Linked DNA regions of Coturnix japonica. The protein of the gene in region 5 binds, or shares a complex with, the protein of the main gene of each other region. Links are inferred from orthologs where the notes say so. Each region holds a gene or a part of one and is shown on either strand. Other genes may lie near its edges. The genes, in order: INTS11, INTS6, INTS7, INTS2, INTS4, INTS1 and INTS12.

Region 1 (4,166 bases), on a different chromosome or scaffold from region 5:
GATGCCATTGAACTATTTAATGGACAGCTGGTACTGAGTGCTTGGGGAAGGAGGAGAGAATGATCCTAGAAAGGAACATGTTTAGTTTAGTTTCTTAGATTTAGAAACGCTGATAAATAAACGATACATGGAAAGAATCACTTCTCACATAGCACCATGGGCCAAAGTGCAGAGCAAAACTAAGGAGAGTATTTGTACCAAACAGATAGAAAAGAATCATAGAAACCTTGAGGACATGAAGAGGATGAGGAACATGAACCAGAGACTGCACTCACCAGAACGTTTCCAATAAAATGCAAAGCTCCTGGGCACGACCAAGGGCAAAAACTGGGATAAGAACCTGCAACAGAGCCATGATTTAGGCTGTGAAACCTGAACAGCACATAGAGAGCACTGCAGCATTACCACTGCTGAATAAGAGCTTCGTAGAGAGCAAAGAACACATCAGTGATCATCAGAGTGCCGTACCTTCCCTCCTCGTTCTACAGTCTCATGCACTTTCTTCAGGAAGTCTCTTTCTCTGCAGCGTTTGGAGTCTCTGATAGTTGTGGCATAGGTAGATTCTGTTATTAATAAATCGGGGCGACACTTATCAATCCAGGCAGCACTGAAACAAAAGGATTTCTTTTTAAAGTCATCAAATTAAGAGCCAGTATCCATCACTTCTCTGCAGGTCTCGGCTGCAGAAGGTCACTATCTCTGTGTGGAGGTAGGAATTAACCCAGCTCAGAATAGAGACCAACTCAGTGGACTTTGAAAAGCAGCTTTTCAGTCTGTTATTTGTTTAAAATACTTTCTTCAATGCTTTGTAAGCATCACAAACATTAAAAACCTCTCATATATGCCAGTAAAAAAGTAAAGCAGCGTTAAAGGTGGTGACTGGCACTCTCTTAAAAAGCAAATGCTTGTGGAAGATACCACAACAATGAAGCATTTCAAACACCTAAATCCAATTACCACGCAGCCATACAAATGGATTAATATGAGTACAGAGAAGATTATGTTAAGGTCTGTTCTGAGGACTCGATTTACCTCTGATCCTCCTCAAAATTCACACTTGCATTTATCTTTGCTGGAAAGACATCATTAAGCATCCCAGTCTCCCATCAAAGAACAAAGAACCAATGCTGGTAAGCCTTGGTATATGAGCAGAAGCTGTGGTAAAATCACCCTGCTTGAAATAGATACAATTCAGAGGAGCCCAGCCTTCCTACTTACCCTAAATGTCTGTCTGGTGTCATGTTATAATCACCCTAAGGGAGGAAGGGAAATCCGTTTATTTTCTCAAGCTAATGGAACAGGCTATTAGAAGGAAACATAAGCATATGTAACTACTGCTGTGCATACTTACAGTGTACACAACTGACTCACATCCAACCTTGATTTGGAACATGGCTGCTCCCAGCACGTGGCCTGCATAGTATGCCTTGATCTCCAGCTCTTCATCCACCTGAACACAAGCAAACACCATGGTAAGCACTTCACAAACAGAAAACTGCTCTGCCTTCCTCAACAGTTCAGTAGCTCCCATCCAAGCAGAAGCATTCATTTACCTGAACTGTCTGGTGAAGATGCACAGCCACCACCTTTTTCATACAGTCTTTAATCATTTGGGACGTGAAGAAGTTTGTTTCTCCTTTTTTATCTACAGTTATTTTCCTGTAGTCCTCCAGGAGGATGGGACAGATGGCCTTGGTAGGATGCGTCATATAAATGGGCCCATCGTAGCCGACCATCTCACTGAAATAGGGGAGGGCTCCACAATGGTCCAGATGGAAGTGGCTGCGAAAGAGACAGAAAGGATGAAGACATTACACAGCAGCTTAGATAACCTGGTTCTCACAGCTTGATTCACCTCTTCAAAGCACTCCACAAAATAGAACTTTTCCCTTTAGAAACAAAACTTGCTTTGATTTCCCATCTCTGTTGTGATCAGGAAGGAAGCTTTCTTACCTGATGATCACACAGTCTAGAAAGTCAGTCAGCCTCCCATTCTGAGTAATGTAGGAAAAGTCAGGAAAGCGTCTCTGCAAAGAGGTGGAAAACGGGTTAACAACCTCAAACAAAGCTACTTAGTACCATGTCATTAACTATATGGACCAGCAGCACGAACCACCTGCTACACTGGACACTGTAAACCCATCTCAAGGCAAAACTGGGGAGACTGTGGGAGCAACACAGCAAGAACTACAGGCAACGCAATGGACACCTACATAAAGAGTCAAAAGGATGAGCTGCCCTATAAAGACAGGCTGAGGGAGCAGGGCTTGTTCAGCCTAGAGAAAGATGCAAGGAGAGGCCTTCAACGTTTAAAAGGGGATTATAAAAAGGAGAAGAATCAACTTTTTGCTTGGGTAGATAGCGATAAGGCAGGAGGAATGGCTTTAAGCTTGAGGAGGGAAGCTTTATATCGGATGCTAAGGGGAAGTTCTCCATAGAGAGAGAGGTGCAGGAACAGCTGGGGATTCTATGAGAGAACAACCCAACCGTGTGTCACACTCACATCATCGTTGTATCCCATATGCATCCCACAGTCCAGCATCACATTCTTCCCCGCGATGGACACCAGGATACAGCTTCGCCCCACATCCTGCCCGGCACCTACAGGAACCCAATAGAACACCATAGTGAGGCGACCCAGCCCCTTTCTGAGGCTCCACAACGCTCCGATCCACCACTTACCGAGCGGTGTCACCTTGATTTCAGGCATTTTAAACCTCTTTCAACTCAAAGCTCGGAAGGGAGCAGCCGTTCCTTTAACGGCCATATTGCAACGGCTCGTCACTCTGAGGTAGATCCCGCCCTTCCCTTTAGCGCATGGGAGGCGCCTCCCGCCGACAAGATGGCGGCGGCGCAGGGAGCGTTCAGCCTGAGGGAGGTGATGGCCGCCTTCCAGAGCTGCGTGACGGAGCAGCGCGAGGTGCTGCTCGGCCCGTATCTCCGCGGATGGAGGGGGCTCGTACGGTGAGTTTTCTGGGCTCCCCAGTACAAAAAAAAGACAGGGATCTCTTGGAAAGAGGAGCCACTAAGATGGCTAAGATCTCCCCTGTGAGGAGAGACTTTGGGAACTGGGTCTGTTTAGCCTTGAGAAAAGAAGGCTGAGAGGGGATTAGATCCAGGTTTATAAATACCTGAGGGGTGGGGGACATAGTGGTGAGGCTGGTCTCTTTTTAGTAGTGTGTAGGGATAGGACTAGGGGTAATGGGATGAAATACAGCATAGAAGTTCCTTAATAAGAACTTCTTTACGGTGAGGGTGACGGAGCACTGGAACAGGCTGCACAGAGAGGTGGTGGAGTCTCCTTCTCTGGAGATATTCAAGATCTGCCTGGACACTTTCCTGTGTGACCTGCTGTAGGGAACCTGCTTTAGCAGGGGGGTTGGACTCGATGATCTCTAGAGGTCCCTTCCAACCCCTACAATTCTGTGATTCTGTGATGGGAGGGGAGGTTGCCCCTCGAGGATGCTGCTTTGTGTTATACCGCTCCGTTTATCCCCTTTTCAGCTTCCTCAACGGGCTGGGCGCCATCTTCTCGTTCATCTCTAAGGACGCGGTGACTAAAATCCAGATTATGGAGAGTTATTGCGGCGGGGAGAAGAAGGAGGAATACCGTACAATGCAATCTATGGTGCGCTATGAGCTCAACGGAGGGCTGGTCGACTTGGAACAGCGCTCAGCCCACCCCAATTCAGGCTGTAGGACCGTCCTACGGCTGCACCGGGCATTGCATTGGTTGCAGCTCTTCCTCGAAGGGCTTCGCACCGCCCAGCAGGACGCCAGCACTTCCACCATCTGCACGGACAGCTACAACGCCTCGTTGGCCGCTTACCATCCCTGGATCGTCCGTAAGGCCGCTACCTTGGCCTTTTGTACCCTGCCATCCCGCGATGCCTTCCTAGAGGTGATGAATGTAGGCGGCCCCGAGGAGGCTGTGGAGATGCTGGGTGATGCTCTGCCCCATATCCGAGATGTGTACGGCATCACTGAGGAGCTGTATGCACAGCACCGCCTGCTGGACCTGCCCTGAGTCCATCCCCCAGCTCCTTGTACCCCCATAAAGCTGATGGAGCTCAGTGACTAAAAGAAAATGCACTAAAATACATACATTGCCATATATATAGCATCATCTCAGCACTGCAGGGAGTTTAAGTGTCCACAAGCACACT
Region 2 (3,952 bases), about 21 Mb from region 5:
TTATATGACACGGGTTTCACATATTTCTTCATTATCAATAGAAACAGTAAAGAGCACGTATTCCATGTATGTATCTGCTATGGTAGATGTTTCAAGAAGATTTGCATTGCTAATGTAACAAAGAAAAATGGCAGAAAATGGGAAAGATTAGTACACAGAAGAGGACAGCAGATGGTAATAGACAAGAAAAACTAGCCATGTGTGGAACTAGCTTTTTTTTCTTTGAAGTTTCATCACCAAACTGGCATTCTAAAAATGTTTAGACTCACTTAATCACCTAGTGGGCAAGCCATACAGTGCAACATGAGATAGACCTCCTTCCTAAACAAACATGGCGTGTTATCATAAACCGCACTCAGACGGGGAAAAGGGAGGGAGAAAACAGGGACTTATTTTCACAGCCACATCCCCATGGTAAATACCAAGAGCAGTAACTAATCCTCAGAGAGCAGATGAAACATTACATGAGAAAAGATACGAAAAGGGGAGATTGACTTTAGCACATCCCACGTGAAAGATACAGGGTATACTTTGCCCAGTACTGGTAACATCTTCTATGCAAAACAAATCCAGGGTCTGATCCAGTGCCACAAAGAATTGGGTATGCTTCTTAAAGTGCATATTTTAACCTAGAGTTAAGGGCTTGTAGCAAGTCATACTACTGAGCAAGGGAACACTGGACCTTCCCAGTAGTAGTTCTGCCTTAAAGGGACAGCTGCCATACAAGCATTTGAAAATCAGAGCTTCCTAAGGTTCTACTATAAACATGAATATGAAAAGAGAGGTATTCAGAGAAGTGTTGAAGTAAACTCACTGGAAAATAACGCTTTAAAAGAGATGTGCTCAGCTTAGCACTTTAGGTGCTTTAGTGCTGTCAGACAAAATAGCCCATCTCCCAAATTGTACGTAACTGATCATACAGCACTATATACAGAAATCAATGTTTTGAAGGCCTCATTGGGCTCATCAGTTAAGGTTCTGGAATTTGTCACCAAAAAAAAACACTACAAAGTTTAACTGAGAAGGTCAACTGCAGCTTACATAGTAGTTTAAAAAGAGAGTAATGAGGAGAATAGGAGGTAATAGCTGGGTACAGAACTGTAGTTAGTACCTACACTTCTTCAGACTGTCTGAACTCTGCTTGCTTTTTATGAAGCCCCTGTATTGAGTGCTTCATGAAGACACTACTTTGGGCAACCACGGGAAACGTGTGTTTTATGATTTTTCCACCTATTACCAGTCAACCTACCTGCCCATAGTTGTCTATGCCAGTTACTAATCTATTTAAGTTTAATAAATCAAAAGCTGTTCTTAGGGACTGGCCAAGAGTTGTAAGTCCTTCAGCCTGAAGGTTTTTCAGTTCATTCATGAACGTCGCATGGTTTTCCTTCCAGCCAGCCTGAAAAGAGAAACGCGAGAAGGCTTATTGGTGGAATGAGCTCGGGACGGGAACCTCCTACGGGATCGGGCTTTTCTGTTGGCTACAGCGTCTCCCTTCAACGCTAAACGAACACCTCGGAAGTTACCAGCATTCAGTAGCATTTCGTAGAGCCTGAAAAGACGGACTGAAAGAGCATGAAATGCTCTGCGTTCATCGAGTATTTCTTACAAGGGACGAAGCCACACACACTAAGAATCCTACACACCGGGCTCACGACCCCACAGAGGCGATGCCCAGCGGGTTCACCCCCCATACCCCCCCGCGTCCCGCAGCCCCCGCCCCGGAGGGTTCTCCCCTCCCTCCCCTTCCCCGCCGAACTCTCCTCGGAGTTGCTGTCACTTCTCCCAAGTTGAGCACACCTCCCCCACAGTTCCTGCCGCTCACACACACACACCACACGGGGGATATATAAAAAAAAATGTCGGCCATGTTGATGTCAGCGCCGCCGCCGCCGCTGCCCGAAGCCGTGCGTGCGCGGCGCCGCGCGGCCCGGCCCGACTGAAGGGGCGGTGCGGCGGGGCAGGAAGGAGGGCCGGGGGGCGGCGGTGGAGGGAGGGGGGAGCGGGGTTACCTTGATGGCGTAGGGAGGCTCCTCGAAAGTGACCAGCATGTACCTGTCGCCGCGGCTGGCCGGGTCCCGGGCCCGCAGCTGCGGCGCGGGGACAAAGCGGAGGGTGAGGCGAGAGGAGGTGCCGGATCTCCCCCCTCCAGGCGCGGCACTGCCCTCCCCTCCCTCCCCGACCCCCCTCCCGGTCTCTCCCGCAGCCCCCGCGCCCCCGGCCCGCAGCCCCCCGCCGCCCCCTCCCCATCTCGCTCGCTTTCGCCTCCTCTCGCCAGGCAGCGCCGGTACCTTCATGAAAGTCTCTACAGCGCCTTTGGCTATGTCCAGATAGCTGGTGCCGAGGTACGCCCGCTGGTTCATGGAGGCGGACGTGTCTATCAGGAAGAGTAAGATGGGCATAGTGCGGAGGGGCCGGCGGCCGGGCGGCTACATGGACAGCGGGCGGGAGGGAGACGGGAGAGCAGGGGGAGGAGGAGGAGGAGGAGGAGAGGCAGCCGGGGTCGGGAGAGGAGCGAGTGGCTGTGAGTGCTGTGCACGGGAAGGGCCTCCCGCTGCCCCTCTGCCGAGGCGGGGGAAGGGGGCAGCGCTGCCTGCCCTGCCCTCCTTTGTGTGAGGGGCCTGCCCAGCCCGGCACGGGCCGGGTGCTGCGGGAGCGGCGGGGAGGGCTGCGCTGCTGCTAACCTTCCCCCCCGCCACCACCGTCCTCCTCCACCGCCGCCCTCCCTCCCCTCCCCCTGTTGATGTTACTCAGAAGTTTCAGGCGGACCGGCCGCAGCCCGCCCACCCCGCCACTTTCTCTCTCTGACTGAGGCGCTTCCTCGCTCGCCGCCCGCTTTTAAGGGCGCCTGGGCAGGTCGGGACACGCCCCCTTAGGACACGTCCCCGCCCCACGTGACCGCCTCCCGGCCCCGCCATAGGGCTTCGGTAGGCCGCTCATTAGCATATTCAAATCGCCGGGGGAGGGCGGGGTTGGGGGGGATGGAGCCGCTGTGGGAGAGGGTGGGGGGGAGCGGCGCCGCCGCGCATGCGCAGTGGAGGTGGGGTGAGGGGCGGCGGGGTGACTCCATATCAGCCCCGTATCAGCCCACAGCCCCTCGAGGCCGCCGTTCTGCCGTACCCCGTGGCGTTGCTTAGCGCTCATCGCCTCCCGAGGCGTGTAGGGCGGTGCTCTCCTGATTTTGGAGGGCATTGGTGGGGTCCTAAAGGCGTTCAGAGCCACGGACCGCCCCGCTGGCTGTGAGGGGACACCGCGAGGCCGGGCTGGTTGTGTGGTGAATTCCCATAGAGCCGCTCTGCAGTTTCACTTGGTGTGAAAAAAAAAAAAAGATTAAAAAAAAACAAACGGGCTGCCCTTAACTGTGACCTTTTCCCTACGCGCAGGCAGAGATTAACACTGCTGTGTCCCTTTGATCCGTGCTCAGGCACTCCGAATTTACTATAAATCACATCGTTGTGGAGTCTTTCCAGCCAATTAATGCTGAAGATTGAGCTCTCCGTCCTTTGGAGGTTTCTGTTTGTTTTTCCCCACAATTGTGTCTGTGCTGTTCCTGCTCTCCCAGCCTTGGAGCGCTGACTCCAGAGCCATTTCTTAGCATTATCTGTTCAGGAGATTGTGCTGCTTCCTTTCTGGCTGATGTTTTCCCCTGATCCAGCTGATGTGCTCCCACAGCCGTTCTCTAGAAGGTACGAAGCCACTGTACTTCTTAAGATAAAATTGGCAGCGTCCTGGTTTGAATCATTTCATTCTTCCAGGCAACATTTCTGTCTTGTTAGGCAAGAGCTGTTTTGGGCTTCTTTTTTTTTTTTTTTCTTTTTTAAAGACTAATGAAGATTAGCATTTAGTTTCTAGGAAGGTTGGAAAGACAGAGGTGGAATCACATTTTCATTACAGGTGTGTCCTTGTGCCTGTGAATAGATATTTTGCCTTTCCTACTGGCACCTGTGACCTG
Region 3 (3,500 bases), on a different chromosome or scaffold from region 5:
AGGCAAGAAGGTACCAGTCCTAACAAGCGAACTGCCCTGTTTCCACCAATGTGCACTTCAGCTTTATGATTTTCACTAACAGAAAGAGACAACACCAGATTAGGACTGTAAAGGAGTACTCTTATCAGCTCCCTGTTTGCATTCAGCACACTTTACATTGTGTTTCCGATGACCTGTATTGATAAGAGAAACACTATACTCCAGCCACACAGTACTAACTGCCAACAGCTCAGATACCCAAGCTGGGCTAGCACTGGACCCTCCAGCACTGTGTGTGCCACAGGTGGAACTCCTGCACCACAACAACATGGATAAATAGTATTTCAGTATTTTAAGGTGACCGTAGTGAGGGATTTGACAGTGACTAGGTAATACTAAGTAATACTGTATCAGCACCTGCTACATTCACAATACCAGGAACTTTAAAACCCACATTTTTAATCGGGCCAGTAAGGCTAGAGATGTTTCAGCAAAACCTTTTTTTTTTTTTTTTTTTCCAAGTATTTTTTTTTTTTTTTTTTTTCCAAGTATTAGAGTATATCCTTAGGAACTGAGTTCCTTGTCTCACTAATAGCTTACACTGAATAACTGAAATGTGCTCTTCAGTTGCTCGATCACCTGAGATTTCCTCAGGTTTTAGAACCTTCATCTACAGAATATATATGTAAAGCTACTACTTGCCAAGTAAGACACAGGAGCATACTTCCTGTTGAGGGATTCCACTTCTTCCAGTACATGATTAAATACAGACATCATTCTCCTTTCATATTCACTCTCAACATGTGCTGCTCCATTTGAACTGTATTCCTGGAAACTAGAAAATAAAACACTCTGCTGTGCCTAAAATACTTTCCTCATCCCAGTCCGAGAGGCTCACTCCGAAACATGCCCAACAAGACCGTCCTCTGTTACAACTTGAAATTCATTAAGAAATAAACAGAGTAAACCGTTTGATTTATTGTTTTCCCAGTCAGACTTGATCCGCACATTTAAGCCCTTTCTCAACTCCAGCTTATCCAGCACTTGCATTCCCATCCTTTCCCAGTTGAAGCAACTGCAGCTCTAAGAGACCGGGTGTGCTTAATTCCCTGAGGAATTTTATTTCAGCCAGCAGCACTTAGAATGCTTCAAAAAAGTCTCACAACTCAACAAAAATGGGCAGTGTCTGTCAGAGTTCACAATATACATGGAATCTTAGACTCTAATGCTCTGAATGCAGTTCACCCCCCAGAAACCTAACTTTTTTAAGGACACAATTGGAAAACATGTGATTAAGGCATCTTCAAAATAGTGCTTAATTCATAACAGTAGATGGACATTTGGGATGCCCAGTTTTATTCCCAGTTACAAGAATCACACATTATAAAGATGCTTAGCCGAGTTTATCTTCCCTTTAATCACAGCATCAGACCTCTAAAGAATGATTTGATTCACAGCTGCTTCAACATGATTTTGCTAATATGTACAAGCTTACACACACAAAAAAGACAGAAACGATTATTTTACCTTAAAAATCTTACACTAATCTCATGCGTGTATTTCCAACACTCCAAAGAAAACTAACATGTACCTACTACTTCCACTTACAAGTGTGAGAGTTAACACAGAATGGCAAACATTAAAATACATGGCAACAGATTGAAAGTTATTTCTTATTTTAATTCAAGTCTGTATTTAAGATGAGAGGAGTACAGCTCTCAAGAGCATAGTAAGTAAATAAAGCAGAACCTGAAGTACAGGTTAGCCTGTCAGCTACAGCACAGCACCAACAGGTCGTCCAGCCTGGCCAGAACAGAATTGTAAGGGGCCACAGGAAAGCTTCTCTGAACATTACCTAAATTCCTAAAGTCCCACGTGTTAAGAAACTACAAGCAAAGGAGCAGAAATTTAACTCTAAAACTTACTTCGCAGATTCTGGATCCAAAATCAGAGCTTCAATTGCATGTGAAATCAACAGGCAACTCTGCTGTTGTCTGATATTAATATTAAGGAGTTATGAGATTTACAAACTTGGTTCCTAAAACAAGAAACACAGTACTATTCAGTAGCACTTTTCCTTATTTCTCTAACTTTTGTGAAGTAATCCTATCACTATTCCTTTGGTAAACAGAACAACTATGGAAATCCCATTTTATGCTGCTGTAAGTTTCAAGTCCTAACTTACTCATGGAGTAATTCTGAACAATAATACAGCAATGTCCATTTCCAAACAGGTTTTAAGCAACCTTCTTAAGCAGTTAACTGCTTCAAAATGACTCTGCTAGCTTTCTCTAGAGAAAGGACCGTTAACTTCGTGCTGTCTTGATGAAACTGTAAGAGGACAAATTCTGAGCTTTTAAAAGGATACAGTTCTACATTCCTTAGAGTCGCTGAGTCTGCATCAAAAGATGACTGATACAGATCTCCATAACGCACAGCCAGGTTCCGGAATTCCTCCATTGATAACTTCATCTACAGAGACAATGTCACCAGTCAAAATAACAGAAGAAAAACAGCCCATGTCCAGAAAATCACTAAACTAACCTACACCACTGAAGAAATAAAACATACTCTTGAGGATATATAAAGTTTTTTCCATGGATAAAAAGCACCTAAGTGACAAAGTATTACCCATGATTTAAACAGATATTCTTCCTGTAAAAAAACAAATAACAATAACAAAAAACAAACAAACAACAACAAACCAGCACAATTTTTTTGAGTTAAAAACAAAACTAACTTGAACAACCTGGGTTGGAGAGGTCTCCAGGCAGCCTGGTCTACTGGGTTGCAACCCTACCCAGAAGGGTTGGAATCGGATTGTCTTAATGAGTTCCTTCCAGCTAAGACCATTCTATGATTTTATCTATCTCCATTCTCCCCTAAAGGGGAAATGAAACTGCTCTGTCCTTCAAAGACCCACTAATTCCTTCTTATAGGTGGCATGCTTTTAGAAGCACTGTCTCAGTACTCTGTCCCCTACCAAGTCACCACAAAAAGCTACGAAGCAATACTTAAGAGTGTATTTTTCCTTTTAACTAGTATAATCAGAGTGTCCATGGTGCTTAAAAGCAAGGTGGAAAGGTTTTGATGCAAATTAGAGTTTACTGAGTGCGTTACTACTTGCGTATTGTAGGAAACTGTATGCATTTATGTGCAAAAAATCATGCACACACAGCTAAAAAATAGAGCCTGGTTCAGCCATAATGGAAAACTATGGCCCACTACTTACTGATGCTTTTCATTTCCTTCACCAGATACCACAGAACAGCTCGGGTTGGAAGGGACCTAGAGGATCATCGAGTTCCAACCCCCCTGTCACAGCCAGGGTTGCCAACCACTAGATCAAGCACCAGCTCAGACAGCCCAGGGCCCCCCCATTCAACCTGGCTTTGAACACCTCCAGGGTTGGTACATCCACAACCTCTCTGGGCAGCTGTGCCAGAGCCTCACCCCTCTCTGTGAAAAACTTCACCCTGACATCTGATCTAAACCTATGAGGTATCTGCTGAGAAGCAAAG
Region 4 (4,146 bases), on a different chromosome or scaffold from region 5:
TGAATCAGCTGCCTAAATCGTGATACAGCCCCATTCTGTTACCTGGGCCATAACATTCCCCATGAAGCTCTCCAATTGCAAAAGCTGCCAGTTTCCCACATGATCCCCTTCCCTCTCCAGTGCAGTTAAATGATAATTAATTTAATACTGTAATCACTAAAAAAATGATGAGGGCTGTTTCTGAAGCGAGTCAAAGCCGGAGGTGTACGTATCAAAACTGCCAATGCCATAGAGCAACTACTCCATTGAACATACCTTTCCATTAGTTACTTTCATTCTTTTAAGTGCACATAATTGCTGATTTATAAATAAAGCCATTGTGAGCCAATAACTCGGGTTCTTTAGAAAGTGCAATCTTAAATATTTGAAAGCCTCATCTCTGGCTTCTTAAAGTGGTTTTGAGAAAACATGTAGTTCTGGCAGCGCTCTATTGAGTAGATGTGGAATTTCCCCTCCTATGTATCCAATGAATCCAATGGAGCTGAGATCTCCTTCCATTCCAATTGAAAATAGGTATTTAAATTGAGATCAACAGGAATCTGGTCACACAGTAATGGTCATGTAGTAATGTCTGTCTTGTTGCTGCCTGGGTCAGTTCTGAGCACACAGTGTGTCCTGCAGCCACCACTATTTGTCAGCACTGCTTCCCTTCTAAAGCAGCTCTCACGTGTCGATCTTTGTTGTTTACTTAAATAGTTAAAAATGAATCGATATTTCAACCCTCAGCACGTTCCTCCTTAGCTGTCAGCGTGGCCCACATCGCTCTATCGCTATATTTACCTCCAATGGTAATTTTAACTTCACGTGTTGCTATGAAGATGGGCTGCTGTGTTTGTTAACGCTGTGCCATCAATGTAGTTGTGTTATTTTAAAGCTTTCAATGACAGTAAGATGTGTGTTAAAGTCTGATTGCCCAGCTGCTTTGCTGCAGCACTGCAGTGATAGGGGCACGGTGCTGTATCACAGCTCTAACCAACGCCTTCTTCCTGCTTTGAAGGGCTGCGCTTCATCCTTCAGGGGCTGCTGGATTTTAGTCATTCATTGCTGTGTATGGGCTGTATTTAATTTATATGATGGGATATTTACTGCTGCGCTCCTCATGCGCTCTATTAAGGGTTGTTGGTGCAGCGCTGGTCGCTCCCAGGGCAGGTTTGTCTCGGGATGGGGGGGGGAAGGAAAGAAGGTTGATACTTTTTAAAGGCAGAAAAGAATTGCGATGGAATAAATTGCTCATAAAGCCCTGATTAATTGCGTGATCTCCTCCTCCTTGTGGGGAGCAGGGCCTGGTTGCGGCCTACACCCCACGCCCAGCCTGCCCGCCCGCACCGCGTCCGCCCTTAACGTCATCACCGCGCGCCGCAGTGGGCGTGGTGGTGGGGCCGCCATGGCGGAGTGCTCGGGGCTGCAGTCTGTCAGCCCGTTCGCCTTCGAGGCGATGCAGAAGGTGGACGTGGTGCGTCTGGCCGCGCTCAGCGACCCCGAGCTGCGGCTGCTGCTCCCCTGCCTGGTTCGCATGGCCCTGTGCGCCCCCGCGGACCAGAGCCAGAGCTGGGCCCAGGACAAGAAGCTCATCCTGCGGCTCCTCTCGGGGGTGGAGGCCGTCAACTCCATCGTGGCTCTGCTGTCCGTCGACTTCCACGCGCTGGAGCAGGACGCCAGCAAAGAGCAGCAGCTCCGGTAACGGCGGTCACGGGGCCGCTTTCCCACAGCTTTATGTTAATTATGGCTTTGTACCGTACGGTTACGATGCTGTACAAGAAATCCCTGCTGCAATGGCCGTAATTTGAATGAAATGGCATCGCTGTGTTTCGTTGTCCGGCAGGCACAAGTTGGGAGGAGGCAGCGGGGAAAGCGTCCTGGTGTCGCAGCTGCAGCACGGGCTGACGCTGGAGTTCGAGCACAGCGATTCACCCCGACGGCTCCGGCTGGTGCTCAGCGAACTGCTGGCCATCATGAACAAGGTGCGTGTGCGTGTGTGAATGAATGAACATGGTGTCTGTATGTGTCTGTATGTGTCTGTGTGTGTCTGCAGCTCCAGGCAGCGCTGGGTTTCCTGGTAGCGAAGTGAGGAGCCTGCAGGCTGCAGTTACTGCTGCTGTTGTGTCAGTGTGAATCTGGTTCTTATCCGCTTCCCCAAGGTTGAAAGATTCAGTTTGAAGTTTCAGATTTCCTTAGAGGAAACATTTCTTCCTCAGAACAAACACGGATAGTCTTTTCTGATATGACCCAAACTCAGCGTATCTCGTGATCTCTTTATTCAAATGGGATTTTGTGAGCTTTCAGTGCAGAAACCAAACCTGAAAATGAAATTCTGCCTCTTGTTTCTGTCTTATTCACCAGTTTTACTGCAGTGTGGTGTTAACCAACGCATTCCTCTTATTTTTGCTGCCTGCATTTTATTTTCCCTGTGCAAACTTCCTGTATTTCTAGAGTTGTTTTTCAGCTGGAAAGAAACAATAATGCTGGTTTTATTGGAGTACTTCTTGTAAACATTAATTACTTAAACATTCATCTCGACCATTGTGTGATTGGAACTGTCCATTCTGGGTAACTTTGATATGTTGTATCTATTGAAGTCAGTGCTGTGGAAGTCTGATCAGACAAACTTCTGGGTGCTGTTTGCTGATGTGAAATGTCTCGTAGGTGTCAGAATCAAATGGGGAGTTTTTTCTCAAGTCTTCTGAGCTCTTTGAGAGCCCCGTCTACCTGGAGGAGGCAGCGGATGTTCTCTGCATCTTGCAAGCAGGTACAGCGCCCTGTGGTACCATGTTCATTAATGCTGCTTTGCTTTCGTATCTATAACTCCTTAGAAACGTCAAAAAAAAACCAACACAAAAACCTTCTTTCTGAGCTGCTGATTTTACTATTAATCGAGGCTCTCTTTCTCTTTGAAAGGGGAATAAACCACAGACTGACACATTTGTTTACCTTCCTACTTTTGAGCACGTTTGTATTTGTTTTGTAGTGAAACTTTCTAACTGTGAGAACTCTCTTTGTCCAGAGCTGCCATCGCTGTTGCCTATAGTTGATGTAGCCGAAGCGCTGCTGCATGTGAAGAATGGAGCCTGGTTCCTCTGCCTGCTGGTGGCCAATGTTCCTGATAGCTTCAATGAGGGTGAGCTGTGGTTTCTCCTTGTATAACTTACTTTTTCTGGAGATCTGTAATAACGTTGATTCTGGGCTGTTATTTATTGTAGGTATTAGAACTGGGATATTGATGGATCTTTCCTTCTCAGTATGTCCATCCCCCTTTTTACAGCCTAATTGTAGTTATCACTGTGTGAGCATTCCTGTTTTTAGGCCAGTTTTCTAAAGGCTGATTCCAACAGCTGCTATTGGAATTATGAACCTGTTGTAGCCTTGCTGTTAGTACTGCCCCTCAGACTGAGCCATACTACAAGGTGAAACATCTGCAGTGACAATGCCTGCATACTATCTATTACCACACAATAAGGTTTCATTCTCCAGTGCTGCCAGATGCACGGCTTGCATTACGTAGAGTGTAAGCAGTGATTGGGTGATGCATAAATCTGTAAGCATTCTTAGAGAAGAAAGGAAAGACTGTTTCCTTGTTCTTTTTACTCAGTGTTGATTGCTATTTGGCGCAATCCAGCTGATAGATCACAGTGAGCTGAGCAGAACGTTTTGGCTCTGTGTGTTTGTGGCTTTCTATTGGAAAGATGAGGTTAAGTTACACCTCCTGTTGGTTGTTCAGTCTGTAGAGGTTTGATTAAGAACGGAGAACGGCAAGATGAGGAAAGCGTTGGAGGCCGTCGCAGGACAGAAGCGCTGCGTCACCTCTGTAAGATGAACCCTTCCCAGGCTCTGAGGGTGCGAGGCATGGTGGTGAGTCCGACACACATCTGTTGTGAGACAAGATCTGAGGCTTCGTTGGGGTCCTCATTGGAATGTTGCAAACAACAAAGGTGATTAATGGGGACTTTTCATCTAGGTGGAAGAGTGCCATCTACCAGGTCTTGGTGTGGCTTTGACATTGGATCACACCAAAAATGAATCTTCAGATGATGGAGTGAGCGACCTGGTGTGTTTTGTGAGCGGTTTGCTACTAGGAACAAATGCCAAAGTTCGAACTTGGTTTGGAACTTTTATCCGAAATGGCCAACAGGTGAGGCAGTCATTGAGTAA
Region 5 (3,500 bases):
CTGCTGCCTTGTATAACTCCAGAGATGGGTACTTCTCAAGGATGACATGTATCCGCCTCATCCTTTATGCTGTGCGCTTTCATCCTGCTAAGCAAACAGCTGACTCACTCCAGAACGTAACGTAACCCCATACAGCCATGTGAATCGTCTGACCTCCCTGCAGAACGATTTTGCTCTACCAGTATTTCTAAGATAGCATTAATTCTTACATCTGCATAGTGAAATATTAACAGTAAACTGGAATCAGATAAAAAAACTATGCTAGCTCCAGAGGTGAAGAATAGAATGTAGAATTCATTTTATACCACGGGACAAGAGCCTTAAAAGATCATTTCAGTGGCATTATTCATTATCAGGTTACATGTGGAAGAACTATCATCAGCTTCAATGCAAAAAGACGCAGAAAGAAGCAATGGGGTTTCTCACCTCTGAAAGGAATCTACTTCCTGAAGGAACTTCTCACACATCCCAAAAAGGGGTTCCACTCTGCAATGAGATCACATTGCTTGATGCAAAAATAACATAAGAAAAGTGGCTCTACAGCCACAAACATTTCAGTTTTGAAATCCAGTTCAAGCTCCTAGAAACTGTAAGACCTTAAAGACAATCTGAGACCACAAATGGATTTCCCACAGGAGAAAGACAAAATGGACTGTCATCATCTTCTCCACACCTGTAACCCCCTCCACAATACATCCCTTGCATTTGCACAAGGCATTAAGTTCCCAGAGCCACTGGTAGAAAACATTAAGCTTTCCACCTATAAAAAAAGATGGAGCTTAAGGAGCTCTATGAAAACACAGCAAATCAATGGCAACAAACATACTTATGTTCTCCTATATGTACTGAAGAAAGAACGCAGCTTTGTTCTTCAGATGGTTATCATCGTGGTGTTTTAAGTGCCTAATTTAGACTTGCTGCTTCTTAAAACACAGCTGGAGGATACGAAGCTTGCAGGTAACCCTTGGCACCACCCTTACCCTCTGGTGGTGCGTGCAGTCACGATGAGCTGTAAGGCTTTTGCTTGCAGTCTCATGTGGTGAATGATGACCACTTGTCTGCTTTCCACACCGCTGTACATGAACTCCATTTTGTACGTTTCTTCCAAGATCTGTCAGACAAACAACACGTGGGTAACAAACCATTCTGGGCTGGAGCACTCACCGACTCCTGCTGGCTGCTCTGGAATACAAACCAAGCAGCACAGCACAGCAGCCCCAGTGGCTCTGCTCAGGTTGTTTCAGAGCTATACTAGACAGAAACAACTTCACATTCAACAACGCTTCATATGCTGCAGATAGAGACGGGAACCATCACAAGATGAGCATCCTCCTGCGTTATTTTTGACACAGTTAAAAGCTTAGACGGCATGCTGCAGTTTTACTTATTATAGCACTGTATCTGCTGAATAGATGGGCTTAAGTAGACAAGAAAAATGCTGAAATGAACACTGCTGCATTCAGTGTAACCACACAGAAGGAAGGACTCTATTTGATAAAGATCCCCTCACCTTACTCTGATGGAAAGTGTTCTACATTCACAATCAAAACAGATAAGCCTTCCCAGCGGGCTCACATACTACTAAGAAAGGCACCCAAGAAAGACAGTTCAATTAGAGAAGATTTAAGAAGCTGATAGGCTTTTGTATCTACTTGTCTCTAGGGACAAGATGTCAACAGCAGAGAAGGGTTTGATGCACAGCAGTAGCTGCCTCTTAATACATTTTAATTAACTGGAGGCTCAAAATGTCAGCATGGCTTCCCAGCAGATCCACAAACTTGCTTTCACCCTAAATCCAGATTATTTAAAGCTCGCTTTCTCATTTCTTTATTTAAAAAAAAGGAAGTGTTTAGCTTTGTTTTTCCAGGATCAGTCAATCAAATGTTAGAGAGCAAGAATAACCTGGCTTGAGTGGGACTTATGGAGCTCATCTACCACTGTCCCTCCTCGAGGCAGGCCTAATTAGCCCAGTTAGCCACGTGTTCTGTGAACAATCCCAAAGATGAAGATTCCCCACTAACAGTCTGGCAAATCCATTTTAGTGCTTACCAATAATCACGACAATTTTTGCTACCTTACATTTACTCAGAATTTCTCGTATTCCAATTTGTATCCATCACTTCTTGTCCCACAGCAGCACATCTAAGAGTCTGTCTTTATGTGATCTATATCCTCAGATAAGGAAGTGGCATAGAGCAGTAAATCAGCCTAGAACCTTCTCCAGGCTGAATAAGCCCAGAGCCCTCAGCTTCTTCTTGCAGGAGAAGTGCTCCACTCCTCAGCCACCCTGAGGGTCCCCTGCTCAATTCACTGCAGTTCAGCAGTACCTTCCTTGCACAGAGACAAGCACAACTCCCCTCTAGATGTGATCTCCCCTACTGACCAGCTCCTCAACTCAGTTTTATCCACAGGGTTGTGAAGGGCACTCTGTTCTCTGTGCCAGTATTTCCAGTGCTTTAAGCCAGGCAGTCTGGCCAATCTTCCATCCATGTTATGATCCACTTACAGATGTGGGATCTTGCCATTTTGGTAATAAGTAATGGGAGATTGTGTTAAAGGGTTTGAAAAAGTCAGGCTTTGTGACATGTCTTATGTCTGCAACACCAGTGCCCTCACTTTGGAAAGCAGTAAGGTTGGTCAGGCATAATTCACCCTTCGAAATGCATTTTGGCTGATCTCAATCACTTCCTTGACCTTCATTTGCTCAAAAATGGCTTTTAAGAGGACTTACTCCATAGAGTTCCCCAGAGGCCAACAGTCCACTGTTCTCCAATCTCCTTTCTTATTATTCTGGAAGATACATGGGATGTTTGCCCTTTTCCTGCAGTCCTAAATCTCCCTCAATCTCCACTTCATTTGATCTTTTGAAGCTGAAAGAAATTGCTTCACTTTGGGGAACTAAGATTTGCTTGGACAGGCTACAGCAGAAAGTCAGAAACACATCAGTACTGCAAGGCCATGGAAATTGGAATCCAAGGACTCGCCTTCAGGTGCTTCAGCCTCACCTGTTTTGCTGCAGCAGATGCTAACGCGTTCTGTTTCAGGTACAAAGGAGCTGCCACGTTCCACAGCTTCTCCTGCAAGGCCTGCAGAAGGAAACCATTAAAAAAAAGGGATGATAAATAACCATTTCTGTCTGAGCGCTCTAACACTGTGCAAGATAAACAGGGCTTGGGAGCATGCCCTCTCTGTTATATGCCAACAGGTTGCCTGAGAGAGCAGGCCAAAGGTTTCTACTTGCTTTTAAACAGTATGGGAAACCACAGCTTACAAACTACACACTGCTATATAAACATCCTACACAGCATTGGGAATAATGTTAACAAAGCTATGAATGAGAGACTGGCTAAGCTGCAAATTCTTCAGTATTTAAGGATAACCGTATGCAGAATATAGTCAGTGATCAGAGAAATTATAACCAATCATCACATCCTTGAGGCTAAGAGCAGGGCATCCTCAGACTGCAGCCATGGAACTGGAATACTGGAAACAATAACTGT
Region 6 (4,219 bases), on a different chromosome or scaffold from region 5:
GGCTTGAGACGAATTTTGATCAGGTTGGAGATAACTTCCATGTCTTCTGAGCTGTGAGTGTTGCAGTTCATACAAACAGACATCAGCAAGTCCTGCGCTGGTTTGGTCAACTGCAGAAGAACAGGAAAACTGCAGCCACTGGCCAACACAGATCAGAAATGTAACTCGCCTTCCTGGCTGAATTTCAAGTCCAGCAGCCTCCATCCTTACCTTTGGATTCTGCAGCCACATTTCCAGCCTTTGCACAGCCATCTGTCGCACCTCTTTGTAGCCACAAGTTGCTGTCAGCAGACGAAGGAGGTTTCTGGACACGTTATCCATGGGCTGGCGCCGGTTGAGTTGATCCCGCAGCATGTCCAGAACATACTCCTCCACACTCTCTGCAAGGTCATCATACCTGGGCCATACAAACTGCATTTTATTCACTTCCTCCCAAGCCGGCTCTGGCATGCTTCACTGTGTCCAGAGATCAGCATTCTTTCTTGTTCACAATAAAGACTACAAAAACAAATCTACTCATTTCTCCTGATACTCAGTGTTCTCTAGCAAGTGTTATGGGACAGCTCCTGCAGAGAGGGAGATCTCTGCCACAGCACTTCAGGAGTGGGTGAGCACAGACAGATCTGTTACATGGAAAGGAAAGCACTTTACCTGGGCATGAGCTGGCCCTCCTGTTCTGGGCTCATTTTCTCCTCTGCAATCAGCAGCTCGCTCTGGCTGTCTTCCTCCTCTGTCATGGAAGGGTGTGGGCTACTTCCTACAAGAGATGAGCACAAAGAAAGAAATCCAAGACCTGCTCTAGAGGACTCCATCAAGTAACACACTGTTCACATCTGCCTTTAAGCCCTTGCCACTGTTTCTAAGACATCCACTTACCAGCACTAATGTCCCCACCACTACGACCAACTTCCCCATGCAAGAGCATGCTCTTAGGAGGCATCTTTGTGTTAAAAGCTGTTTGGATGTTATCCACAAATGTCTTGCAGTGAGGGCTGTCCACCCAGATGCGCTCTCCAAGGGAGTCCTCAATGTAAACCTACAGGAAAGAAAGCAGCAGGAATGCAAACCACATACAACTTGCCCAGCACTGCCACAGCTCAGCAGAAGCATCCTCTGTTCAACAACCTTGACAAAGATCTCCGGCCAGTTCTCATCCTCTTCATAAGCTGCCATGAGAAGGTTGCAGGCCAAGACAGACACAAGGCTATTCCCTTTAGCTTTGAAATTAATAGAGGCATCTCTTCGGAGCAGGCTACACAACGCCTGGAAGATTATATAAAGAGAAAAAAAAGGAATTAAATTACAAACCCCCAAAATCATATAGAAAAGCTTTAGAAAAAGAGCTACAAATCTCAGTAACTTGCCACAGAAGTGCAGCATCTACAAAGGCATGTGAGCTGTGTTCTGGCCAGACAGCAGCTGCGACTATGTGCGTGATGATGTGGCAGGAACCCCAGAATTATACTTCAGAAACATATAATAGGAAACCCAGGAGTCCCCACATAACAGCCCTCACCTCGATAACTCCTTCAGTGGCAAATATATTCGGTTTGATTTTTGCCAGGTACATGAGGCTCAGGTACAGCGTGGGATCAGGTTTGGCTCGGTTCATTTTCAGCTGCTTGGCCGCTCCACACAGCACCCCCTCAATGCGGTCATCGTTACCTTCAGCCTCCGCTGCCTCAATTTCATCCAGCAGCACCGTGGGAACAACTGCAACAACCAACACACAGGAACCAGTTTATACCCTCACGCAAAACAACCTGCCAGGATCAACCTGCCCTGATGTGCTGCAAAGGATCAGCCCCCAGGAAAGCAAAACATGGATCCACACCTTGAATACTGCGCCATCCCTTCCTTCCCCCTTGTAGGTGGGATGTGACAGGACCCCTAATATGTCTATGTCCATAAGACTATGTCCATAAGACTATGTATGTAATATACAAATATGTATGTATGTAACAGGGCAAGGAAGCTGTGAAGGATGTGAAACACAAGGGAGAGGCTAAGAGAACTGGATTGTTCACTCTGGACAAGGCTTGAGGGAGACCTTACTGCTCTCTACAACCACCTGGCAGGTCTTGCACACCTTTAGCCCCTCAGTGATGTTTTCCCCGTTAAGTTTTTCAGACCAGATGAACACAACCCAACACGAACAAGGAAGAAAAGGTGATGAAACTGCGACTTTGCCCCCACATCTATCAGGGGAAAGCCTTAAGGACGGCAGCACTGCACGAGCTTAGAGAAAGGCTCCCGGTAAGCTGAGCCCCAAGGCTGTACCCTGCTCTTACCTTCGATGGGGATGACAGACGGCTCTTTGATGGAGGGTGATATCGCCCGCTTCTCCGCCACAGCCGCCTCAGCCAGCCGTCCCAGCGCGCTGAGCGGCGGCGTGTTGTTCAGCTTGGGCCTCTTGCTCAGCCCGCCCAGCCCCGCGGGGCCCGACAGAGCGGCGGCCGCGTCCCGTTTTCGCTCGGAGGGCAGCCCGGAGGGTGCCGGCTTCAGCAGAGTGACGGCGGCCTTGCCATCCCCGCCCTGCCCCTTGGAGCCCAGAGCGATGAAATCTCCCGGCGGAGGGTGAGCTGCAACGGACGACAACCGTGATGGGGACCGAGATGGTAAACGGGGCAGCCCCCGGCTCGGCCTCTCGGGCGCGGTCTCGCACTCACCGGACGGCTTGGGGGCGGCGCTGGGCCGCCGGACGGCAGCGGCCTTGGGTCGGTTCATGGCACCGCCCAGCGGCAGCACCGACACCGGCACAACGCCCACACACACGGAAACGGAAGGTTCCCCCTGGCGGAAGCGAGGTGAGCTCTACCGCTGCCGGTATCAGAGCGGCCCCTCACTGGGTGTGACATGGCGCCCCCTGGTGGTGGGAGGTCGCGGAGTGGCGGGGGTGGGGGACTGTGTGAGGCGCCGCCCTGCGGGATGAAGTGGAACTGCAGCACGGGGGGAGATGGAGGGGGTGGGGAACAGGGGGACGTGGTGAAGAATAAAGGGGAATTGGGGGTATAAGGGTGAATTATGGGACATAAGGGTGAATTGGGGGACATGGGGTGAATTGGGGGACATAAGGGTGAATTGTGGTATATGAGGGTGAATTGGGGATATAAGGGTGAATTGTGGGACATAAGGGTGAATTTGGAGACATAAGGGTCAATTGTGGTATATAAGGGTGAACTAGGGGGACATAGGGGTGAATTGTGGTATATGAGGGTGAATTTGGGGACATTAGGGAGAATTGTGGTATATAAGGGTGAATTGGGGGACATTAGGGAGAATTGTGGTATATAACGGTGAACTGGGGGACATTAGGGTGAATTGTGGTATATAAGGGTGAACTGGGGGACATAAGAGTGAACTGGAGGGATATAAGGGTGAATTGGGGGATATAAGGGTGAATTATGGGACATAAGGGTGAATTGGGGGACATGGGGTGAATTGGGGGACATAAGGGTGAATTGTGGGACATAAGGGTGAATTTGGAGACATAAGGGTCAATTGTGGTATATAAGGGTGAACTGGGGGACGTAAGAGTGAACTGGGGGGATATAAGGGTGCATTGGGGGACATAAGGGTGAACTGGGGGACATAAGGGTGAACTGGGGGACATTAGGGTGAACTAGGGGGACATAGGGGTGAATTGGGGGACATAAGAGTGAACTGGAGGGATATAAGGGTGAATTGGGGGATATAAGGGTGAACTGTGGGACATAAGGATGAATTTAGGGACATAAGGGATTGGGGAGCATGGTGGAGAACTGCAGAACATGTGCTGACAGAAAGACACTCAGACACCCAACTCTCCACGTGCCTTTATTGCAGATGGGGCCCTCACCCCACACTGATGCCGTAGCATGGAGCCCCCACCCCATCCCACACCCCTTGCAGCAGTGGGTGACAGCAGGTGACAGTCCCTGGTGCCGTGTTACCATCCTGGCCTTGAGGGCTGGAGCAGGAACGTGCACATTGGGTCATGGCAAGGCAGGGCAGCACTGTGCCCACACAGCTCACAGCCACTGCAGGGAGAAGCCCTGGCTGAGCACGAGGCCGAGGCCACTGACGGTGAGGACCTGCAGGACATGAGGGGACAATATGGCTGAGCTGCTCCAGCTCTTATTGCAATGACCTCAACCCTACATATGGCACAAAAGCACCATCCTCCCCCTCCTGCCCCCCATCAATGAGGGCTGGGAGAGGAGGGATGGGCACCCTTAGG
Region 7 (4,011 bases), on a different chromosome or scaffold from region 5:
TCCATTCCCTAACAACTGTGACAGTGGAAGATTTCAAGTATTTACCAATACTGCCCATTCCAGATGACTCACATTTAATGCAGGTCTTGATGAAACAGATCAAGGAAAGCAGGAAAAGCTTCTATTTTCAGTTTTTACTTTCGTATCATACTGAGGATTTGATTCATGACAACAATTTCACAGTTATCGCCTGTGAGGAATATTTCAAAACTCAGGCACTTTAGCAGTCCCGACAACTGTATTAATCAGAACAACTGTATTCATCAGTTCTTATTTATGTGACAACTTGATGTGAAATTCAAAGAATTCCAGGAGACCTGAGTAAATTCTTCCATTATAATTACTAACGTGACTATCCATAACTTTATATTCTATCCTACAACATATTTTATACCATAATTTCCAATCAATAATTCAATCTATCACAGTAACTTGCTTATCTAACATTTCTACATTACCCTATCACCTTCTATTTTCTGCTTTCTATCACTCATAAACAACATAGTATCCAACAACCAGAATACCATGGTTTTGGCTGGGATATAGTTAATTTTCTTCACGGTGACTCACCACGTCCTGTGTTTTTGATTATTTTCAAAATGGAAATAGTACTGACAAGTGATGCTTTAGCTGTTGATGAGCAGTGCTGTGCAGAGCTGAGGACATCTCAGCTCCTGATGCTGCCCTGCCTGGAGGGGGCTGGAGGAGTACAGGGAGCTGTGAGGGGACAGAACCAGGACTGCTGGCCCAGACCAGCCAGAGGGATGGCTCGTACCATATGGTATCCTGCTCAGCAATGAAAACTGGGAGACAAGAAGAGGAAGAGCAGATGACATTCTGAGAGATGGAGTTTGCCTTCCCAAGAAACTGTTATGTGTGATGACCTCTGCTTTCCTGGAAGTGACTGAACATCTGCTGCCCAGGAAGGCTGTGGATGCCCCTGTCCCTGCAGGTGTTCAAGGCCAGGTTGGATGGCCCTGGACAACCTGATCTAGTAAATGTGTATGTTTGGTGGCCCTGCCAGGCAGGGGGGTTGGAACTACATGATCCTTGAGGTCCCTTCCAACCCAGGCCATTCTGTGATTCTGTGATCTGCCTGCCAATGGGAAGTAGCAAAGGAATTTCTTGTTGTTTGCACATGCAGATTTTGCTTTACCGAGTAAACCATACTAACCATAAAAGAGAAGTTCTCATACTTCTAAGTTTCTTATTTTCTCCCCCATCCAACATGCAGAGAGCAAACAAGTGGCTACGTGGTGCTGAGCTGCCTGCTGCATTACACCACAATACACTGGCATTTTGTTTCTAAGAGACCTCCTGCTCAAAGCAAAAAGAAAAAAATCAGCTATGAATTCAGACAAGATTTCCGAGGACACCATCCAGATGGACCTTCAAAACATACACAGACAGGGATCTCACTGTCTCCTTTCACTTCTTTATTCCAAATTGGATCCTCCCTTTTCAGATTGTGCTTTCACATAAAAGGAAATACAGGCTTCATTTTATCAATAATCTCCTGTTAGATACAGAAAGGCGTCTATTTAGGACACAGCAAGACCCTCCTCAGATGATATTCTCCACTCCTCCCCTCAACTTCAGAGCTAGTTATTTTGCCATAAAGGATAATCCAGTTGACCAGACATGACTGACCCTTGGTAGATTCCCAAGCTGGTTATCCCCAGTCAACACGTGCTCCTGCCCATGCTGTGCTGGCTCCCTTCATAACCTTCCCATGGATGCAAGGAGGGAGGCTAACCAGTCTGCACTTCCCTGGATAGTCCTTCCTGCCTCTTTTGAGGAGGGATATGTAAGACATGTAGTCTGCCTTTTTCTAGCCCCCAGTGATTTCTCCCAGCCTCATGACTTCTCATAGACAAAAGCAAGGGGCTTCACAATGGTACACCAGAACACAGTCCATCCAGGTCAATGGATTACCAGGCAATCAACCCATGCTTCAGCCCTCTTCTGCATCTTCTCCTTGTTGCAGAAACAGAGGGCTCACTGATGAGCTCTGAGGGAAACTAATTGTCTTAGAATCAGTGGAAACAGTTATTTTCCTTCACAGTACCTGATATGATGCTATGTTTTAGCTTTAGAGGGAGCTGGAAGGGGACAGAACCAGAACAGCCGACCTCAAATGACCCAAATGGATATTCCACAGCAGGCAAGTTTGAAAAAGGTGGGAGTTCTTCAGGCTTGCTGCTGCTGCTTGGAAACTAGCACAGCATCGATTGGTACGTGGTGAGCAATTTGTTTGTGCATTGCTTGTTTTTTTACATACATATATATATACACACACAGTCTTATATACGTACTTATAGTTGTAACTATTATCCTTTTATCTTTCCTCCCCCTCACCTCACCCCCAGCCCACCTCCTCCTCACACCACAGCTGCCTGTTTAACTGAGCCCTGTTCCCGTTGTACCACATATTAACTCACACCGGGGCCACCCGCCGGCCCCACTCAGACAGCGGGTACGGCCGCTTCCAGCTCCGCCGTGGGAGGACACACAGGCGCCCACAACGCCCACCCTCAGGGCCGGGGACGACACCGCGACACCCCCCGAAGCTCCCGCCACGCTCTCACCTGAGGAGAGACGGTAATACCCGCCGCTCAGAGCCCTCAGCCGGTACACAGCCCCCGTTCCGGCTCGCTCCGCGGGCGGGAGGGCGGAGCGCTGCGCGGCTGGGGCGGAGCCGGGCGGGACGCGCATGGGCACACGGTAAGAGGCGGAGCCGGGGAGGAAGCGGCCGGGACGTATCGTGCGCGGGGTCGGGTAAGTGGTGAGGAGCGACCGAGGGAGGGAGAAATGGATCTCGATCGATCAGCGCTGGTGGAGACCGGGCGCTGTTTATCGGCCCGCGCGGCGGTGGGCGGGGCGGGAGGTGTGTGAGGGAGAGCGCGGGATCGGCGGCCTTGGGGGTTCGCCCCTCGGTGCTGCTTCCTCACACGGGCTCACACCGAAGGCAAACCGTGTTATTTATCTTTAAGTGATGTTGCAAAACCTGTGGTGTTCATTATTTATGTTCAGCTGATTTCTCCCTTCCCTTCTTTTAGCAGTGGTTACTATTAATAAGGCCAGTGTAGGATAGAAACCCTCACAGAATGCAGGCTAAGCAGAGAAGGACGAGTGCCAGGAAAGGTGTTGTGATTAAATGGGTGCACAATGTTTTTGTTAGTTCCATTCTTTATTATCACAGAACAGCAGCGTTTGGAGGAGACCTCAAGAGACCATCAAGTCCAACCCTCTGCTAAGTAGGTTCCCTACAATAAACTGCACAGATTGGTGTCCAGACAGGTCTTGAATATCTCTGTGGAAGGAAACAAGCTGTCAGGAGGAAATTTTTAAAGCAAAATATGGAAGAGGAGTGTGATGTGGCAGTGTGAGAGTACAGCTCTCTGAAGTGAGAGAAGGCCATGAGTATATTCTCACAAGAAATAATTTAAGGAAACACAAGTCATCTATAGACTGGTCCCAGATAGCTTTATTTTGCTTTATGTCCTGTGGGAGGCTAATATTAATACAGTTGAGCCAAATCTTGCTGCACTGACTGGATTTCAGAAGCAGGTGGTGTGTCATTTGTTCACTGTCTGTCTGAGAATGGAGAAGACAATTTCCTAGATAAGTGTTTGGAGTAGTCAGTGAATGATCTTTTTGTGACAAAGAGGTTTGTGATGTCTAGTAAGAGATTAGTATTTCTTATGTGTTTACTCCATGTGTTGCGAGCTCTGCGGTTGTGGTGAAACCAAGTCTAGACTTGACTTATTCAGGTTGCCATTTGGCTTTTGAAATTACATAGCTGTGAACAAAGTTAACTTAATTGCTACTTTTTGGCCATCTGAAATATCTTATGTGGAAAAAAAAAAAAAGTATATTGTGTAGCTGGAGAAAAAGCAGCAAGTTAAATGGGGCTTTAAGGAATGGATAGATGGAAGAAGAGGGTGGCTATTGTCATTTATACCTAGGACTGATCTGGCAAAGTGGAAGGAAAAACAAATCAGGCTGATA

The links.
Region 1: the proteins of INTS4 (region 5) and INTS11 are in contact, whole or in part, in a cryo-EM structure (PDB 7BFP), measured with the Homo sapiens proteins. The link is inferred for Coturnix japonica from reciprocal best matches to the Homo sapiens genes INTS4 and INTS11. Residues at the interface, in NP_291025.3 of Homo sapiens: Leu159, Asp161, Thr162, Arg167, Tyr203, Gln207, Asp244, Ser292, Gly294, Trp296, Arg299, Lys323, Met326, Ser327, Asp328; in NP_060341.2 of Homo sapiens: Pro183, Trp191, Lys194, Asp212, Gln288, Gln400, Gln404, Lys462, Met465, Ala466, Leu469.
Region 2: INTS4 (region 5) and INTS6 share a complex: the UniProt entries of both Homo sapiens proteins name them as parts of the integrator complex. The link is inferred for Coturnix japonica from reciprocal best matches to the Homo sapiens genes INTS4 and INTS6.
Region 3: the proteins of INTS4 (region 5) and INTS7 are in contact, whole or in part, in a cryo-EM structure (PDB 8RC4), measured with the Homo sapiens proteins. The link is inferred for Coturnix japonica from reciprocal best matches to the Homo sapiens genes INTS4 and INTS7. Residues at the interface, in NP_291025.3 of Homo sapiens: Glu536, Met539, Asp540, Arg571, His572, Ala574, Tyr575, Asp578, Ser579, Ser610, Phe613, Arg620, Leu624, Leu627, Gly631, Glu634, Leu635, Phe638, Arg641, Asp642, Arg645, Leu646, Glu648, Leu649, Gln650, Lys677, Leu678, Trp679, Asn680, Val681; in NP_056249.1 of Homo sapiens: Lys137, Asn138, His140, His141, Arg144, Gln145, Gly175, His205, His206, Asp207, Ala208, Ser244, Ser245, Leu246, Val247, Lys282, Thr283, Pro284, His285, Thr286, Thr321, Ile322, Lys325, His326, Gly686, Tyr689, Glu704, Gln707, Gln708, Leu711.
Region 4: INTS4 (region 5) and INTS2 share a complex: the UniProt entries of both Homo sapiens proteins name them as parts of the integrator complex. The link is inferred for Coturnix japonica from reciprocal best matches to the Homo sapiens genes INTS4 and INTS2.
Region 6: INTS4 (region 5) and INTS1 share a complex: the UniProt entries of both Homo sapiens proteins name them as parts of the integrator complex. The link is inferred for Coturnix japonica from reciprocal best matches to the Homo sapiens genes INTS4 and INTS1.
Region 7: INTS4 (region 5) and INTS12 share a complex: the UniProt entries of both Homo sapiens proteins name them as parts of the integrator complex. The link is inferred for Coturnix japonica from reciprocal best matches to the Homo sapiens genes INTS4 and INTS12.

The regions. Positions count from the first base shown.
Region 1 is NC_029536.1:1,973,058-1,977,223, reverse strand, and holds the start of INTS11 (integrator complex subunit 11), read right to left. Parts: upstream 2,801-4,166; 5' UTR 2,711-2,800; coding exon 2,683-2,710; intron 2,602-2,682; coding exon 2,504-2,601; intron 2,028-2,503; coding exon 1,954-2,027; intron 1,783-1,953; coding exon 1,554-1,782; intron 1,451-1,553; coding exon 1,352-1,450; intron 1,254-1,351; coding exon 1,219-1,253; intron 608-1,218; coding exon 469-607; intron 341-468; coding exon 276-340; intron 1-275. Other genes in the region: CPTP (ceramide-1-phosphate transfer protein), read left to right, coding at 2,843-2,964, 3,505-4,027.
Region 2 is NC_029516.1:152,175,915-152,179,866, forward strand, and holds the start of INTS6 (integrator complex subunit 6), read right to left. Parts: upstream 2,801-3,952; 5' UTR 2,403-2,800; coding exon 2,292-2,402; intron 2,091-2,291; coding exon 2,013-2,090; intron 1,400-2,012; coding exon 1,250-1,399; intron 1-1,249. UniProt on the Homo sapiens protein: Component of the integrator complex, a multiprotein complex that terminates RNA polymerase II (Pol II) transcription in the promoter-proximal region of genes.
Region 3 is NC_029518.1:19,466,274-19,469,773, reverse strand, and holds part of INTS7 (integrator complex subunit 7), read right to left. Parts: intron 2,452-3,500; coding exon 2,348-2,451; intron 1,974-2,347; coding exon 1,905-1,973; intron 815-1,904; coding exon 682-814; intron 1-681. UniProt on the Homo sapiens protein: Component of the integrator complex, a multiprotein complex that terminates RNA polymerase II (Pol II) transcription in the promoter-proximal region of genes.
Region 4 is NC_029534.1:6,219,743-6,223,888, forward strand, and holds the start of INTS2 (integrator complex subunit 2), read left to right. Parts: upstream 1-1,346; 5' UTR 1,347-1,384; coding exon 1,385-1,677; intron 1,678-1,822; coding exon 1,823-1,961; intron 1,962-2,643; coding exon 2,644-2,746; intron 2,747-3,001; coding exon 3,002-3,115; intron 3,116-3,715; coding exon 3,716-3,846; intron 3,847-3,952; coding exon 3,953-4,126; intron 4,127-4,146. UniProt on the Homo sapiens protein: Component of the integrator complex, a multiprotein complex that terminates RNA polymerase II (Pol II) transcription in the promoter-proximal region of genes.
Region 5 is NC_029516.1:172,699,846-172,703,345, reverse strand, and holds part of INTS4 (integrator complex subunit 4), read right to left. Parts: intron 3,087-3,500; coding exon 3,006-3,086; intron 1,112-3,005; coding exon 981-1,111; intron 487-980; coding exon 427-486; intron 1-426. UniProt on the Homo sapiens protein: Component of the integrator complex, a multiprotein complex that terminates RNA polymerase II (Pol II) transcription in the promoter-proximal region of genes.
Region 6 is NC_029529.1:2,677,159-2,681,377, forward strand, and holds the start of INTS1 (integrator complex subunit 1), read right to left. Parts: upstream 2,801-4,219; 5' UTR 2,728-2,800; coding exon 2,292-2,727; intron 1,714-2,291; coding exon 1,517-1,713; intron 1,264-1,516; coding exon 1,126-1,263; intron 1,037-1,125; coding exon 877-1,036; intron 758-876; coding exon 652-757; intron 398-651; coding exon 211-397; intron 111-210; coding exon 1-110. Other genes in the region: lysosomal alpha-glucosidase, read right to left, coding at 4,011-4,073. UniProt on the Homo sapiens protein: Component of the integrator complex, a multiprotein complex that terminates RNA polymerase II (Pol II) transcription in the promoter-proximal region of genes.
Region 7 is NC_029519.1:34,243,870-34,247,880, reverse strand, and holds the start of INTS12 (integrator complex subunit 12), read right to left. Parts: upstream 2,801-4,011; 5' UTR 2,716-2,800; coding exon 2,589-2,715; intron 1,292-2,588; exon of another isoform or gene 1,175-1,291; intron 178-1,174; exon of another isoform or gene 73-177; intron 1-72. UniProt on the Homo sapiens protein: Component of the integrator complex, a multiprotein complex that terminates RNA polymerase II (Pol II) transcription in the promoter-proximal region of genes.